3 linked regions of the Rattus norvegicus genome follow. The protein of the gene in region 2 purifies or fractionates together with the protein of the main gene of each other region. This does not show direct contact. Links are inferred from orthologs where the notes say so. Each region holds a gene or a part of one and is shown on either strand. Other genes may lie near its edges.

Evidence for each region. The genes of interacting proteins can lie anywhere in the genome.
Region 1: the proteins of Snap23 (region 2) and Vamp3 purify together in Homo sapiens (affinity purification with western blotting; 6 studies listed by BioGRID and IntAct, with this or other methods). This does not show direct contact. The link is inferred for Rattus norvegicus from reciprocal best matches to the Homo sapiens genes SNAP23 and VAMP3.
Region 3: the proteins of Snap23 (region 2) and Vamp2 purify together in Homo sapiens (affinity purification with western blotting; 4 studies listed by BioGRID and IntAct, with this or other methods). This does not show direct contact. The link is inferred for Rattus norvegicus from reciprocal best matches to the Homo sapiens genes SNAP23 and VAMP2.

The regions. Positions count from the first base shown.
Region 1 is NC_086023.1:166,787,793-166,793,416, forward strand, and holds the start of Vamp3 (vesicle-associated membrane protein 3), read right to left. Parts: upstream 3,731-5,624; 5' UTR 3,680-3,730; coding exon 3,678-3,679; intron 1,593-3,677; coding exon 1,511-1,592; intron 1-1,510. UniProt on the Homo sapiens protein: SNARE involved in vesicular transport from the late endosomes to the trans-Golgi network.
Region 2 is NC_086021.1:127,965,890-127,971,623, reverse strand, and holds the start of Snap23 (synaptosomal-associated protein 23), read right to left. Parts: upstream 3,739-5,734; 5' UTR 3,635-3,738; intron 2,656-3,634; exon of another isoform or gene 1-2,655. UniProt on the Homo sapiens protein: Essential component of the high affinity receptor for the general membrane fusion machinery and an important regulator of transport vesicle docking and fusion.
Region 3 is NC_086028.1:54,290,913-54,296,518, reverse strand, and holds the start of Vamp2 (vesicle-associated membrane protein 2), read right to left. Parts: upstream 3,731-5,606; 5' UTR 3,649-3,730; coding exon 3,647-3,648; intron 3,142-3,646; coding exon 3,021-3,141; intron 2,514-3,020; coding exon 2,355-2,513; intron 2,268-2,354; coding exon 2,216-2,267; coding exon of another isoform or gene 2,142-2,215; exon of another isoform or gene 1,616-2,141; coding exon 1,599-1,615; 3' UTR 1-1,598. UniProt on the Homo sapiens protein: Involved in the targeting and/or fusion of transport vesicles to their target membrane. Major SNARE protein of synaptic vesicles which mediates fusion of synaptic vesicles to release neurotransmitters.

The DNA of each region.
Region 1 (5,624 bases), on a different chromosome or scaffold from region 2:
AAGGGAGAAGCTCACCCTGACCCTAGAACATGCTGCACCTGGAATAGGCAAACCCAAAGAAACAGCCAACTACAGGTTACCAGGCAACCAGGAAAACCAGGGGTGAGTGACTGTGAGATGAGTGCAGGGTGCTTCTCACAGAGACAAGAGTTCTGAAAGCAAGAAGAGGTGATGACTGTACAACCCACTGAATATACTCAACATAGTGTACGCTCAATGGCAGACTTTAAAAAATGCTTAATGGTATGTTACATGAATTTCTCCTCAAGGGACAAAAACTAGATTCTCTTTAAATTTTCTTTAATTTCTAAAAAGGACAGAATTTGAGTTTTTGAGTGACAGAATTAGTGTAAAAGCCTAGAATGTTCAGAATTAAGTTCATAAAGAAACCATCCTAGCAAAATCTTACTGTCTGACTTAATAATAGTATCTAAGATAACTAGTTTTAGGACAGCAAAAAGTAGAAAGATTGTGTGTATGTATTATATATGTATATGAGTGGGGACATGGTTCAACGTGGGTTTAGTTCCCAGCAGCTGACAACCTTCTGTAACTCTAGTTCTAAGGGTTTTGATGGATTCTGCAGAGACTGTTCACACCCCCCACACACACACAGTATACATGCATGTAGGCAAAAACCTCATACACTTAAGTCTTAATAAAAAGAGTATGGAAACAGTGGTCCATCTCACAGGCTCTTCACCGTGGTTCTACACGTACATACCCAAACAAAAGTTGCCATAGGACTCCACTAGCTCAAGAATTCCAGGGAGAGCTGGGACTACAGCAGTTCCACCTTCTATGGCTCCTTCGACAAATATCAGAGAAAGCTTCTACAAAGACCTGCCTATACCAGATAACTAGTAAATCCTGCTATAAGACACACAACAATTTGGGAGCAAAACAAAACCCAGCTCAGAAAGACTTGCTCCTGGCTTGAGCAATCCAATTACCCTATCTTACAAGTGGCTCTGGGGACAAACTTTCGGATATGTTTTAGGTTTGTGATTTGATAGTAGAAAAATTAGTATGAAACCAGGAAGAGTCTCCTTTGTGCTTGGCAGATGGCTTCTAGAACATTCAGGCAAAATAATCATATACATAAAAAGAAAACTAATCTTTAAGAAAAGAATATGGAAATGCTGGTTTGAGTTTCTCACAGAATCTTTACTATTGCCCTGCAAATACACATTTAGAAAGATGACTTCTGACATACTCGAAATTTATGCTCACATGTCAGTGATGCTTCCCCCCCCCCCCCAACGTTTAAAAAACAATGAGTTATGTGTGTGTCTGTGAGGGAACATGCATGTGCCACTGGAGTCCATTACAGGCAGTTTCATGGTCCAGATGAGAGTGACTGGAATCCAGGTGGATCCTCTGCTAGAACAATACATGTTCTTTCAACCCGAGACACCTTTCTAGCTCCAATGACTCTTTTTCCAAATAAAATTCTAGAGAGAATTCCCATGTGTGTTTAAAAGTCACACTTGAAACTTTAGAGCAGTACCTCATCTACTTGATTCTGTGTCTGCTGGAGTCTTCGATTACTGCCAGTGGCAGCACTGGACCCTGAAGGCACCCCTGTAGACCTGAAAGGTATAAAGTCACAGGTATGAGTACATTGTGATTCCTGGTGCCCTTGATGAGGCAAACATAATCCCGACACTCCGACCACGACATGGGAGGTGGACACAAGAGTCCTGGAAGCCTGAGGGCCAGCTCACCTGATACGTGCAGCACTGGACAAGAGATACCGTCTCTACTAAGGTGGAAAGAAGGGCTGCCATGTGAGGTTGTTCTCTGCTCACAAGTATCCCGTGGCATGTTTGTGTGTACAAACTGTTATGCTGGGATTCAGTCTTTTTTTTTTTTTTTTTTTGGTTCTTTTTTTCGGAGCTGGGGACCGAACCCAGGGCCTTGTGCTTCCTAGGTAAGCGCTCTACCACTGAGCTAAATCCCCAGCCCCGCTGGGATTCAGTCTTACTGACTCCTTATACTGCAATCATTCCTAAAGCCCTGCAGTAAGAAATAAAGGCACTAATGTGTTTTTATAATTCCTCAATAATTCTTAAGACTGTATCACTGGGGCTGGAGAGATGGCTCAGCGGTTAAGAGCACTGACTGCTCTTCCAGAGGTTCTGAGTTCAAATCCCACAACCACATGGTGGCTCACAACCATCTGTAATGGGATCCGATGCTCTCTTTTGGTGTGTCTGAGGACAGCGACAGTGTTCTTATATATAGTAAATAAATATATCTTAAAAAAAAAAAGACTATCACTTCATAGTGACCAAAGTCTGAAGCAAAATAAGATCTGTTTTGTGTCAATGAAGTCCTCTTTTTAAAAAAACTTGCTTTAAGGCACTCAGATGATTAAAGGCACTCAGTAGTCTCGTGACCTTTTTGCTGTGGCAAGAACTGCCTTATGGTTAGGAACAATCACAGAACAGCCAATGTGCTGAAGTAGTGCAACCGAGGGGTCTCTGTGAATGGGAAGGTGGCTGAAGCAATTGTCTCTGTTGGAAAGTCATCTCATGTTGGTTCAGTGAATCTGTATTTTCATTCATCCCCACTCTTCATGACTACTCTGGCTTTTAAGTCCTTATTAACTCCATTAAACTCTTCCTGTATCTAAGACAGTGCTCAACCTGTGCCTTCGTACACAACTGTCACCCCAGGGTTGACTCAACAGTTTTTTTGGGTTTTTTTTGGTTCTTTTTTTTCGGAGCTGGGGACCGAACCCAGGGCCTTGCGCTTCCTAGGCAAGCGCTCTACCACTGAGCTAAATCCCCAACCCCTCAACAGTTCTTTTAAGTCAGCACTGTGTCCACCATCAAGGACACACAACACTGATGGCTGTCTCAGAACTCAGGGTCCGAAAGTTAAACAGCTAAGGGCCGTGCTCTGGAAGCACTATGCATGTTTTTTTTTTCCTCTTTGAAGCCTGATAACTTTATGAAGAGGGTATTACTATCCTCCTCATCTTATTAAAACTTAGGATAAAACATGCAGCTGGCTGAAGTGAAACCAGGTCCACTTTAATTCTCTCATGCATGGACGGGACACAGTCATTTGCACAGCAGTCTGACCAGGTACATCTTAAGTAGTGACAACTTCGAGAAGTAGATACATCAATTCCCGCTGAAGGTTACTATTAGAAACCAATTTCAAAACAAGAGTGTGTTTGCTTAAAACGGAAGCGAAACCTTCCGCTGCCAAGGTGCGCTAGCAGCGCGAGAGCTCCTCTGAGGACGCCAAACGCTGGTCTACCATGGGCTGGGCCTCAGCTCCGGGCCACCTCCCGGGCTCCCGCTCCTGCCCCGCACCGCGGCGCAGAGGGCGAGCGCCCCCGCCCCTCTCGAGGAAGGAGAGGCAGGGTGGGGCGGCCGCTTCCTCGGTCAGCCGGTGCCCCCATCCCCGCCCTTCCGCGTCTGCCCGCCGGCCTCGAAGCACTCGGGGACGTCGCGGCGCCAAGACTCGTCCCGCAGCGTCCGGGGGCAGAGTGCACCGCGGGGCCGCCGCCCACTTCAGGGCCCGGGACGCTGCACCTAGGCCCGCGAGGCCTCCACTCGAGTCCGAGTGCCGAGCAGCAGCCACCGCGCCTGAAGCGGGTCCCAGGAGTGGGCCACGGCCCCCGGAGCCCGCCTCGCCTCGCAGCGCAGCGCGTCACTCACATTTTGGCGGCGGCGGCAGCGGCAGCGAATGGCCGAGGGTCCGTGGACTTGCGCTGCAGGCAACCGAGGCTGAGGAGATGGGCGGGGCTGCGGTGACGTCAGGAACAGGGGCAGGACCGGAACCGGCGATGCGCTCTCAGCCGCCGAGGGCGCGCCGGAAATGGGCGGGGTTACATGGGCTGTAACCTCCGGGCTGACCAGAGTAGGAGGGGCCAGAGCTTGCGCTGAAGTAGCGCCCACGCTGACGAGTGGGCGGGCTTCTCGGTGGACAAGTGGGCGGGGCTAGAGCGCGGCGCCTGCGCCTTTGGGCTGGGCTCTTCAGCGCCTTGGAATCACAGCAGCTTCCTGCAGTGTCTCCGCTGCCCTGTCTCTAGCCCTGGAAAGGCAGTTTAGAGTGAGAATGGGTGCGTTTTACATTACTATGAGCCCGCATACCTTCTCTCTGGGTCGTGACCATGTTAGAAACTGCTTATGAGCCTAACGTTCCAGAATAATCTAGTGGACCTGAGGAGACAAAGTTCTTTTCTGAGAAAGAGGCAGTAGGAAGTCCATTTGGAGTCTTGACCACAGGGTTTGGAAGAAATCCCCTCTCAGGTTCTCACATGACAAGTATTTGCCATTGCACGGCTATTACAATTCCTGAAGGGAGCCTTGGACTTTGAGAACTGTAAGTTTCTTCATTTCTGTAATTCCCTGGTCCTAGCAGAGAAGAGATACTCAACTTTTGTTCAAAGGGGGTGAGTAGTATACGTCGCAAAGAATCCAAACAGTCTCTTTAAACAGACTAAATAAGTTCAGTTGGTGGATTCATTAAGTAAAATACACCTAAGGTATTTTCCACTTCAGCGTGGTGAACTCGCAAAGGTGAGTATTGCAATAAAGCACGCCACTTCAGTGGGTACTGGGTTGAGTAGTAGATATAAAAAAAAAACATTCTAGGTAGGAGCACAGACCAACTGGAGAGTGTGGGGCTGCGCTTAAATAGTGAACAGAAACTGCAGTGGGCTCCTGGTGGGAGGTTCAGAGTGTGAAACTGGCACTTATTCTGAGGTAGATCAGAAGTGAAGTACTCCCAGAAAGATAGCAGAACTCTGCAGCGAAGAGGACTGGAACAGTAACGGAAAAAAATACCTGCAGGGAAGCCTTTGTGAGGTAAGCTGGAAAGGGTCTTTAAAAAAAAAAAAAACAAACCTACCTAGTAGAGCTGAAGAGTAGCTTAGTTGGCAGGGTGCTAGTCTTAACATCCAGTCCTGGGTCTGATCCCCTGGAACCAGATAAGACCCAGCCTGTCGGCACACCCGTAATCTCAACAGAAGCTTTTTAGGTAAACAGTTAAGAGGTTCAAGGTCATCCTTATACGTAAGCGTTGGGACTTCATGGGTTCTCTGAGCTACATGAGAAGGGTTAATGTAAGATCGAGATCCTTATCTTCCAAGCAACCCATTTAAGAAGAAAGACTCGAGGTACTGAGGAACCAGGCAGGGTAGGCAAGTGCTTTGGGAAAGTGGCTCTAAGTGAAACGCTGGGTGGGAGGACACTGTGTGTGGGAGGTGAAAAAAAAAAAAAAACAAACAAACTTCCCACCCACAACACCTTGGGTTTTAGGTCAGGTTAAAGCAAAACGCGGATGATATGGGGAAATTTTCTTCATTTTTAATTTACAGCAGGAAGAATAGAAAGCATTCAGAAAACATTTTCCATATTTTTAAGGGCAATTCAAAACATTTTGCATGGTTTCCAGCAGCTGAGTTCTTCAACAGATCCATTGACTCCATGATGCTTTACATGCACAATTAACAAAAATAAAACTTACAAAAAAAAAGAAGACATCTAGACTAGTTTTACATGCAAGTCTCAGGGACCCCCCGTTGGGCGCCAACTACTGTGTGGAACTGCCGTAAGCGACCGTGCAGCCAGAAAGGGGTTCGTCTTAATGTCTTTATTTCA
Region 2 (5,734 bases):
TGTTCTGTCTTGTGGCAAGGTCTCACTGTGCAGTACAGGCTGTTCTGAAACTCACTGTAGCCTTTCAACTATCCTGCTGTCTCAGCCTATCAAGTGCGAGGATTTCAGGTATGACTTACTACATCAAGTGCCTTTCACTTGTTTTGCAAGAGTGAACAAGATCCAGTCTGATGTTGCTTACCTGACACTTGTGAACCTGACACAGGAAGATTTCAAGGCTGAGGTCAATCTGGGGATAAAAGAAGCCTTCAATTCTGGCCTAAGCTAGTGTGAAAACCTGTCTGAAGAACCAACATAAATGAATTGGAAAAAAGTCCAAGTTTCTTATCTTATAACAAGAGAAAATTATTTTAAACTGGCAATCCAAGCTAGACTATGCTACCAGCACGAGAACCTTATCCCACCTAGAGCAGCCACCCAATTTACTTAGCCTGTTTATGTGATAGTTTTTTAGATTTACTAAAAGTTCTTCCCAGAATTGTTTCTAAAATCAAATGCACATTAAGTGCTTAGCACGGTACCAGCCAGAAGTATAAGTTATCAATGAAGTGAATATTATTTCTTTGATGATGATGATTTGAGATAGTCTTCCTATGTAATCCAGACTTGCCTTGCATTTCAATCCCCCTGCTGCGGCTTCCTGAGTGCTGTGATTATAGGTGTGCGCTGCGCCATGCCAGAGTGCTGACACTCATGCTAAGTCACGGTCTTTACCTGCAGTCCTGACTCCTAGTATCGAACGTTTGAGCAGAAAATCAGGAAACTCCTACATAAACTTGGAATCAGCCAAGGCCTTGGGTAGTTTGGGTACATACACTTTAGGTAAGATGAAGTCTTGTCGATCATCCTTAACCGATAGAAGACATTCAATGCCATGAGTGCCTTCATTCTAAGCTCTAGATCAGTGGTTCTCAATCTTTGGGTTGAGACCCCTTGGGGGTTGTATATCTGATATCCTGCATATCAGATATTTACATTATGATTCATAATAGTAGCAAAATTAGTTATGATGTAGCGATGAAATAATTCTATGGTGGGGGGATCACTACAACATAAGGAACTGTATGAAAGGATCACAGCATTAGGAAGGTTGAGAATCTCTGCTACAAATGTACAAGTATATGTGCAACATACCTATGCACTGTTTACTTCTAGAACCCAAAGAGAAATGGTAAGGAATGGATTCAAGAAAATAAATCAGGGGCTGGAGAGGTAGCTCAGTGGTTAAGAGCACTACCTACTCTTCCAGAGGTCCTGAGTTCAATTCCCAGCAACCACATGGTGACTCACAACCATCTATACTATGATCTGTGCCCCTCTTCTGGCATGCAGGTGTACATGCAGATAGAACATACATAAAATATTTATTAAAGAAAAAAAAAGCCAGAACTTCAGATATAGATCATAAGTCAGCAGGCAAAATAACTTGATTTAGATTCCCTCTAGAACTATATTTTACTAGTATATTCCATTTTTTATGGGGTGGGGAGTGAGTGAGCTTCAAGTAGTCCAGGCTGGTCTCAAACTCTCTGCATATGGCTGGTAAGATGGCTCAGCAGGTAAGCAAGAGCTTACCATCCAACAATACAAGCCTGTTAATCTGAATTCAATCAACCGGGAACCACACGATAGGAGAGAACCAATCCACCAAAGTTGTCCTCAACCTCCAAGTCCACACCAAGGCACACCCCTCCCTACAAATAACTATCTGTAATAAAAATAATTCAAATCCTACGTAACAAGTTGGTGTTGCATTCCTGATCCCTTGTGCCAACCTTCTAGGTGTCTGGCCTATTGGCATCCATCATCACACTGGAGCTACATTTCATTTCTAATATGGTATCTAGAATATTCATGCATTTGGCCATGCACTAAACCCCATTATCCTCGTCTAAACAGTACTAGCTTCTGTCTTGGTACACTTTTACTATTGCTGGAGCAAAAGACTGTAAGCAGAGCAACTTACAGAAGAAAGCATTTATTTGACCATCATGGCCAAGGAGCAAGGCAGCAGGAAGAGAGGAAGCTTGAGCAATAGCTGAGAGCTCATATCGCAAACCACCACCAGACTGAGAGAACTAAGAGACTGAAAGAACTAATATATGTCTATTGTTTGATTGTTGTTTTGAGATGGGGTTTCGTGAGGTCACTGGGGCTGGCCTATATAACCGCCTCAGAAGTATTAAATATGTTATTATGGAACACTGTTCTCAGAGCATAAATAACCATTACCATCTTAATCAGAACAACTGGAATTACTCACAAAAGACTCTCTGGATGGGCCTGTTGATGTTCCCTGATAGAAGATGGGGTGTCACTGGACTCTCACCTGGAACTCTAGTCACTCACTCCCAATTCTGGCCCAATTTCACTTGGTTTTATAAGTTGCTACAATGTAGAAAGGGGACCCCACCCAAAAAGAAGCCACCTAAAAATCAAAATAAAACAAAAGGTCCTACTGAGAATGATAATTATTTAAGGTAAAGGCTAAATTTAACCATTTAACTTACTTTAATATGACCTATTCCAGAAGCATTGTGGGGGGAGGGTGTGAGTGTGCATGTCTTTAATTTCAGCACTTGAGAGACTGAGTTCCAGGCCAGCCTGAGCTATATAGTGAGATCATTTCTTTAAAAAAAAAAAAAAAAAAAAAAAAAAAGGTGCTTTAACAAGTATTGCCTTACTGGACCAGGCTGACTCAAACTCACAGATATCCATCTGCCTCTGCCTCCCAAGTGCTGGGACTAAAGGTGTGCACACCACTGCCCAGAGCCTCACAGAATTTAAGCGTAGTATTTTCCAAGAAAAATAAAAAGAATGTGAGAAGGATCTGTTTTTATCTTGCTATGACTGAACTATTAGCATTTTACTTGGACATCTCAAAACCCTCTTAAAAGGCAGCAGGGCAGATGAAGTTATTTCAATCCTTAAAATATCTTTAAGTAAGAAATTATACTATTTTCATAAGGCTGAGAACACTCTGTCAAAAAGCTGTCAGTTTCTGAACTCTCCTTCAATCACCATCCCTGCCCCCAGCCCAAACCTACCCAGATGACAAACAGCAAAAGGGAAAGATCTTTTTCCTCAACTCGGATGTTTTTCGCTTCCTCTACCACCAGTTTGTTTTTCCTAGTAGTGGAGTGACTAATGATAAAGAACGAAGGAAAGAAGTGTAACAGTACTTTAAGATACTTTTCTCACACACAAACCGAATTGGGGAAAAAAAAATTGCTCTTGCCTGACCATATTCTTGGTGCTTCCCCATGGGGAAGACTCAAGGTAAGCAGGGAATTTTCCTAGACAGTGAAGTCTGCCACGCCAGGAGCCTCGGGGTCATTCTTCTAACAACTATTTCAGAACTATGTGTTCATTAAGGCCACCAGACAGTCTGTTAATACTAACGAGAAACGCCGTGAGGCTGGAGGTGAGGGATGAAGAGCCTATCTACACAAGTCCAAGGCACCACCATAGCGCCTCCCTTCCTGTGCGGGATTCGCGCTGGTCGCCAACGCCTGGCGATTTCGTTCTCGGCCCAATCACCGAGAACTGGCCGGAGCTCCCTTCTCCCCTCCAGTCCGACCCCCAAAACGTTGAACCACCACCACACCCTCTTTTTCCTTGGACATCATCCTACCTGTCCCGCTGACCAGCTCACTCAGCTACTTTTCAGAAGGCTCACCCGGCTGCTCCAGCCACTCCTCTCCGGGCCCCGCTGCTCTTGGACTCTCTTAAGATCCGACAGGGTGCGTAAGAGTGCGCAGGCGCCCCGAGGATCTGTGCGCCTGCGCACTCGCAGGGCTCCCGCGGGGCAGACACACCTCTACCGCTGGAGCCAATCACCGCAGGGGGTGGGCGTGGACTTAAATCGCCTGCCACGCAGGCGGAGATCCTGGGAACTCACCCGTTAACCTTACCGGTTCTCCCGTTGGAGAGAAGGTGGGAGGAGTTCGTGCAGCCATCCTCGCTGAAGGCAGCTGTGCCCTGAACGTCTTAGTGTTTGAACTACAATTACTGCCAAAGCCTACAGGATGTTTTGGCATCTTTAAACCAGGGAAATAGATGCGTAAACACATTTCAATTAACAGAATACGGTCATAGAAATTCCGAGGCGCCTTTGTCCAACAATGAGCAAAACTTTTACCTTGAGGAATGCCTGTAAGATTGACGCAGGAAGTTGCTCTTAAAGTCACGAAGGATAAGTAGGAGTTCCTCCGGAAGTCTACGAGATAAGAGTTTTCCAGGCTTTGGGAACAACAACACGGCGCCTTCTGGAAGTTTCTTGAAATTTACTCTCGTTAGAAGCTTAAGAGTTCACTTTCTGAGACAAAAGAAAATGAAGGCATGGTAGCTCATACCGTGTTGTCCTCAAGCTATTAGAGGCTGAGGCTGGAGGATCACTTGACCTCTGGAATGTAAAGCCGGACTGACAACCTAGTGAGATCCATTCTTTCCCAAACCATTGTACTCTGAAATAGGAAAAGCTCTTTTATCCCTGAGACCATCACCACCAGGGCTGGGGATCAAACTAAGGAGAAAACTAGATCTTTAAAGGTCTTGTAGGTTTTGGAATGTTAAACCTAGAATTCGTTTTTATGGCCATTGAGTTACTGGAGGGTTTTAAACCACTTGCCCCAAGAATTCTTCCACGCACCTCTAAGAGTAAAGCAAAATGCTGGCAATCTAAGGAATAAAAAAAAAATATTTAAAAGAAATAGCTTAAGAGATAAAAGAAGTCTGAGAAATATCTTTTGAATTTAATAACTGGGGATTGGTGATAGTTGACAGACATTCCAATAGTTTGGAGAAGAGAAAGAAATGGGAACGTCATAAAATGCTTTTGGAAACTGGCTTTGTCAGAGAAAAAGGAATGATGTGTTTTATTTCTTTTTATTTTGTTGAGATGAAGACATAAGAACTCTAGTATGGGAGAAAAGACTCAACTGGGAAAAACAGTTGAATTTTTAAAAAATTGAGGGGGCGGTAATGATCTAGATAAAGATCTCGATAGGGTTAGAGCTGCCGTAGTCAAACCAGTGATGAGAGTTGGTGGTGGTGCACCTTCAATCCCAGCTCAGGAGGTGGAAGCAAGGGAATCTTTGTGTAGCCTGGTTTACATAGTAATTCTTTGTCTCAAAAGTAAGTAAATGAAATAAAACTTTGGGCTGGAAAGATGGCTGTTCTTCCACAGGACACCCATCTGGTAGTTCACAACTATCTGTAATTCAAGTTCCAGGTGATCCAAACCTTCCTGAACCTCTATAGGCACATGTACAAGGATGGTAAACAGGCATTCATGCAGGCTAAACACCCATACTAAAATATAATTTAAAAAATCAACACTAGGGGTTGGGGATTTAGCTCAGTGGTAGAGTGCTTGCCTAGCAAGCGCAAGGCCCTGGGTTTGGTCCCCAGCTCTGAAAAAAAGAAAAGAAAAGAAAAAAAAAACAACAACAACACTGATAGGAGGTCTAGAACAGTGGTTGAAGCCTATAATCTCAGCATTAGGAGGTAGAGAGGCAGATCAGAAATACGTCATCACTGACTATATAGTGATGTTGAGGTTAGCAACCTGAGGCCCTGCCTCTAACAATAAAATCCATAGGACTGAGGCTGGCCAGAAGGCTCAAGGTAAAGTACTTGTTCTCAAGCCAAGGACCTGATTTTAATTCCTGGAGTCCATATAGTTGCAGGTCCTCTGACTTCTCTATATGAGCACTGGATGGGAAGCATGTTG
Region 3 (5,606 bases), on a different chromosome or scaffold from region 2:
ATCTCTCCTACCCTTTCACACCACAGTTTAGATCTCCTTGGTTCCCCTCCACACAGAAAACCTGGTGTGTGTGGGGGAAGAGTTTGGGGAACACCCCCCCCAAGAGGCAGGTTAAGGGGCTGTACCCTCAGACCCCTAAAACTGTGCCATTTTTAAAGATTAGATCCTTTCTCTATCATTGTACCCAACAGGGAAATAGCTTGCTTCCCTCTCTCTCTCTCTCTCTCTCTCTCTCTCTCTCTCTCTCTCTCTCTCTCTCTCAGGGCTCAGCAGCCCTAGAGAAGGACAAGGATCCCCATCCTCCAGCAAGTCCCATACACATATTGGCAGTGACTAGTACCCCCACCCTGAATACAGGGGGGCAGTCAGAGGAGCTGGGCAGTGATGGGGGGTAATACCCCCCCCCAGGATTGGGGAGGAAAGTTTTCAGTCCAACCTCTAGCAAGGATGAGGCCAGAGATTTCAGGCAGGAATTAGGGGGGGTTCTGTTTTGTCCCACTCCTCCCCAAGGCAGTGATGACCCCCACACACACTAGAGCCACCCCTCCTCAAAGAACCAGATTGTGGTCAGCCTCCAGTTCTCCTGGTGGGAGGAGGCAGCAGATCAGGCAGATGGGAGGGAGGGAGACCCCCGGGAATGTCAGCTGAATGCCCCACACGAAAACTGGGGAGCAGGAATGTAGGGAGAGACCCCAAGTGGCAGAATTATTGGTCCATCATAACACACTGAACTCCAAGACACTTACACACCAGCTGGGGGAGGGAGAGGAGGGTACAAGAGGTGTGGAAAATGGGGTAAGGGAAGCAAACTAGACTAGAGGGGCTGGGAGGAGGCAACTTTGGGGTCCTAGTTCCCCAAAAGCCCAGGCTCCCCACCACCTGCAGATAATGTCGTGCAAATAAAAGTGTGATAAGAGGACCAATGGAAACTAACTCTTCCGAAAAGAAAGAAAGAAAAAAAAAAAACACAGAAGAGTGAAGAGTAATGGAACAGAAAGGAAGAAACCCAGGGAAAAAAAAAAGACAGTGTATGCAAATGATATGCTAATCAACATGTTGGAAGCTCCCAGAAAACCTTGGGATTCTTAGGACCAAGTAGGACCAGTCTTAGAGGCTCCCAAGGGATACAAAGATGCAACCTATGGAAGCCTAGACAGGTGGGGTGTTTTGTTTGTTTCTGTGGGGTTTGCTCTGTTTGGGGAGGGTCTGGAATTGTACAGGGAAGATAGGGGAAGGATTGGTTAAATCCAAGGGAAGGAGGAGAGGGGCTATTGCATAGCAGATGCAAATGAAGGGACTTGGGGCTGAACAGGAAAGAGGAAAGGGGGCAGAGGGTGAGAGAGAGAGGTGATGGGAACCTCAGGAAGGGGTGTTAAGGACAACCGGAAAAAATCTTCTAGTAATAAAACTACAAACAGACCAAATATATATAATATTATATATGTATAAATAACAGCTGGCTATTTACAGGGGGCACACACACGGACACACACACACACGGATCCAAGGGAGGGGGCTGAAAGATATGGCTGAGAGGTGGAGGACGGGCTGAGGGTGGGGGAGAGGCCCTTCTTAGGCAGGGCAGACTCCTCAGGGACTTAAGTGCTGAAGTAAACTGTGGAGAGAGAGGGCATGAGGAGGGGTAGGGGGTGGGGGAAGGGAAGGAAGAGAAAGACAGCAGTGTATCAGGCCTGGCCCTGTTCCAAACCTCCCCAGTCCCCCACTGACATCCCTTCTCTCTCTGCCTCAGTTTCTTCAAAGGGACTGCACAAGTGGGTATTGAGATCCCTTAAACGCCACGATTGCACAAAGGGGTATCAAACCTTTAAGGCACTGGCATGTGACGATAGCTTTCAAATAGTGGAGTAAGTGTATCCTGTGATTGGAGTTCAAGACCCTCAGCCTGACCTGTCTTCTACTCTCCAGTTTTAGAAACCCCAGACTGAGCTTTTAGGCTCAAAGGGTTCCTAGAAAGGCACCAGGGACCACCCAGTATTCCTATCCCCAAAATCTTACCCAGAACTACCCATAACAAGGGAAAATAAGGCTATAACACTCAAGTTGGGGCTCTACGTGAGTCAGAACTGCCAATAGCAGCAAAATGTGTTTTGGTAGAAGAGTAAAAACTAGGTCAATGACCTTCAAAGCCCCGACTCCACAGGGAAACCCTCTACTTCTCCAGGGAAAGGGCCCTGGCCACTCCTGCTCCACTCACCGATGATGATGATGAGGATGATGGCGCAAATCACTCCCAAGATGATCATCATCTAGGAATGAGAGGGAGGTGAATGAGGCGAGGTGACACCCCACTCACCCACTGGCCCTCCACCTGACCCCATCTCCTTCCCCTTTACCTTGAGGTTTTTCCACCAGTATTTGCGCTTGAGCTTGGCTGCACTTGTTTCAAACTGGGAGGCCCCTGCCTGGAGGGCATCTGCGCGATCATCCAGTTCCGATAGCTTCTGGTCCCGCTCCAGGACCTTGTCCACATTCACCCTCATGATGTCCACCACCTGGGGGAGGGGTCCACGAGGCAGGGGGGTGTGCCAAGGTACGCCTTAAGGAGGGCACTTCTTGAACATGTGCCCATTGTGGCACACATGGAACATGCACCCCGATGTTTTCAGGCTAACATGCCAAGGACATACACAGAACATGCTTAGCACACCTGGGGACATGCAAGGAGCACACATCAGGGGCATGCTGCTGCCACAGAGCTCAGATGCTCAGCAACACCCTCTATCTTTAGGGCTTGGATCAGCCTATCACCAGAGCACACCTGCCCCAGCTGGCACACCCCGGGCTAGCACAACTGATTCATCCTGCAGCCCTTCCAAGTGCAAGCTGACAGGGAATCAGAGAGGGGATACGGCAGGTCTCGGACCCAAACCCACAGGCATAAACTGTCATTACCTTCAACCCAAGATGGGCTCCCACACCTATTTGCCAGTCCCATCATCTTTCACACACACACACACACACACACACACACACACACACACACACACACACACACTCACCTCATCCACCTGGGCCTGGGTCTGCTGCAGTCTCCTGTTACTGGTAAGATTTGGAGGAGGTGCAGGGGGGCCACCCTCGCCGGCCGGGGCGGCAGGCGGGACGGTGGCAGCGGTAGCCGACCTAAGGAAGAGAAACGGATTAAGACTCCAGGCCTGGAGCCTCTGGCCCTACAGTCCGGGCTCCACCCATCCACCTGTCCATCCACAGTCCCTCCAGTCCTCTCTTGCGCGAGAAGGCACCCGATGGGAGATACAGTCACTTTAAGGCCCCAAAGCGGTTGAGCCGCGTGACCTTGAGAGACCCTCCTCGTGCCTCAATTTCCCCTCCTGTTAAATGAGGGCGACCTCCTTGATGCTGCCCGGGGTCGACCCGAAATGACTGACGGCCATGGTGACAGGGGCGGGGCGGAGGGTGGACGCTGGGTCCGCTCCCTCCTGCGGGCCATCGCCCGTGCCAGACCGCACGAGACCGGGTTCCGGGCACCAGCGCGCAGTCATGGGCACCAGCCTGGCCAGCGGCACGAGAGGCGCGGGCGGGACCCCCGTGTTTCCCAGCCCACTCCTTGGGGTGGCGGCCCGCAAGGGGCAGAACATCGCGGGTGGCGAGTGACAGGCGGCTGACTTACATGGCGGGGGTAGCGGGCAGAGGACTTGGCAGAGGCAGTGACAGCGGCGGCGGCTCGCGCTGGCTCCGACTGGCGCTGGCTACCCGGGACTGGAAGATGGCGGCCGCACGTCACCCGCATCCGGGCACTGCGGCGTGGGCGGGGCGCGGCAGGCGACACGTCTCTAGCGGACCGCGGGGGCGGGGCGCTGCAGGGCCGGGGGTCGTCTGGTTGGGTCTGTTGGCCTTAGGCTGTGGGCCCAGCTCGCCAACCCACCGCCGCCCCTAAGACACCTGACACCTGCCTCTTTTGGAAGGAACCCACAACCGAGATTCATACATCTCTTCCCCACAAATTACATCCTTCCTCATACTTGAAGAGGATACACAGGTTCTTACACCTTATAATTCGACGTCTCATCCTACAACCTGGTTCCAACACATGGTGTATGGGTTGAGGGTGAAAAACAAGAAGCGACCAAGATAGGTACCAGAGCAATACTAACTGGAATCCTGACACTGTAGTGGAGGGGGATTGTGAGAACTAATCTCGCCCATCACCCTGCAATTGAATGTCTCAAGAGAGATCTGAGGCTTCTTATTTCCTAGCAGGGTATGGGCAAAAGGAGTAACAGAGGCACACACACACACACACACACACACACACACACACACACAAAACCGGGGCAGGAGGGGGGCTGTGAAAACTGCCCCTCCTTACAAAGAACTTATGACCAGGTGTGTGTTTGGCAGTCAAAGCTTGAGCAGGCCCCACAAAAATTAGACAAGCTAAAGACTCTAGGGAGGGCCAAGACTGTCTGGTGGTGCCATAGGCTGGATCCCCACTGAAGTCAGCTGCCCCACCTCAGCTTTGATTCTAGCATACAACCCGGACTGAAAAGAGACAGTAGACAGGGTGGTCGTACCTGAAGTACTTAGGTTATAGGCACAACTTTACATGTGGATTAGTCCCAAACACATGACCTTGACAGAACCAACTGCCTCTCCCTGGACCCTAAAATTTAAGTGCATCACATATGGAGACAATATTTGTCAAATGGCTTAATCTAGATAACACTATAGGATATTATCTTAGACCTGGTCCATTCCTGACTGCTCCATTTTAAGTACACGAAACAGCCACAGCAGCTGTACACACTCCCATCCTGCATCTAGGGAGAGAGAGAACCAGGGAGCAGCTGCCTATTTAGCAAGTCTCCGGGGTGAAGGAGGCATTTTAGGGGAGGACTAGTAGCTCTGAGGTGGGAGTGCTCAACACATCCCTGAGAGAGCCTTATTCTCAGAGACAAGCAGGGTCTGGCTTTCCTCCTCTTCACTGTGGGCTTCCCAGAGCCTCCTGTGCTGCAGTGCCCAACCCCCTCCCAGCAGAAGCCCCAGGACAAGTTCTGTCATCTGAGGTGTTAGTTCCCAGCTGTCTGGGGGAGGTGAAAGAGCAGGGGAGTTTGTGCTGGGTGCAGAATTCGCTCAAGGCTGCCTCCTGCTTCCCTTGCCAGAGCAGCCATTAGCCTGGTCTTTGTGAGGCTGGGCTCCTGAGAAGAGAGGCTTTGGTGGTGGAGGGGGCTGTTCAAATCATCTGTGAGGCTCTTGTTTTCTGTCCCTGAGACCACTCTACTTTCTAATCAGAGAACAAAGATGCCACATTCCATTATTTCACGCTCAAATGCCTTAGTGTCTGGATAGAAACATCACAGAGTGGGGAAAGAGAAACTGTGAGCAGACACCCCCACCACCACGGCCCAACACCCCCCCCACCCCTGCAGGTAAGATCACAGACCCTGTTTTAGGAATTATACCCATGGTGCCTAGCCAAACAGGATATGGGAGAGAGAAAGAGAGAGAGAGAGAGAGAGAGAGAGAGAGAGAGAGAGAGAGAGAGAGAGAGAGAGAGAGACAGAGACAGAGAGAGAGAGAGACAGAGAGAGAGAGACACAGAGAGAGAGAGAGAGAGAGAGAGAGAGAGA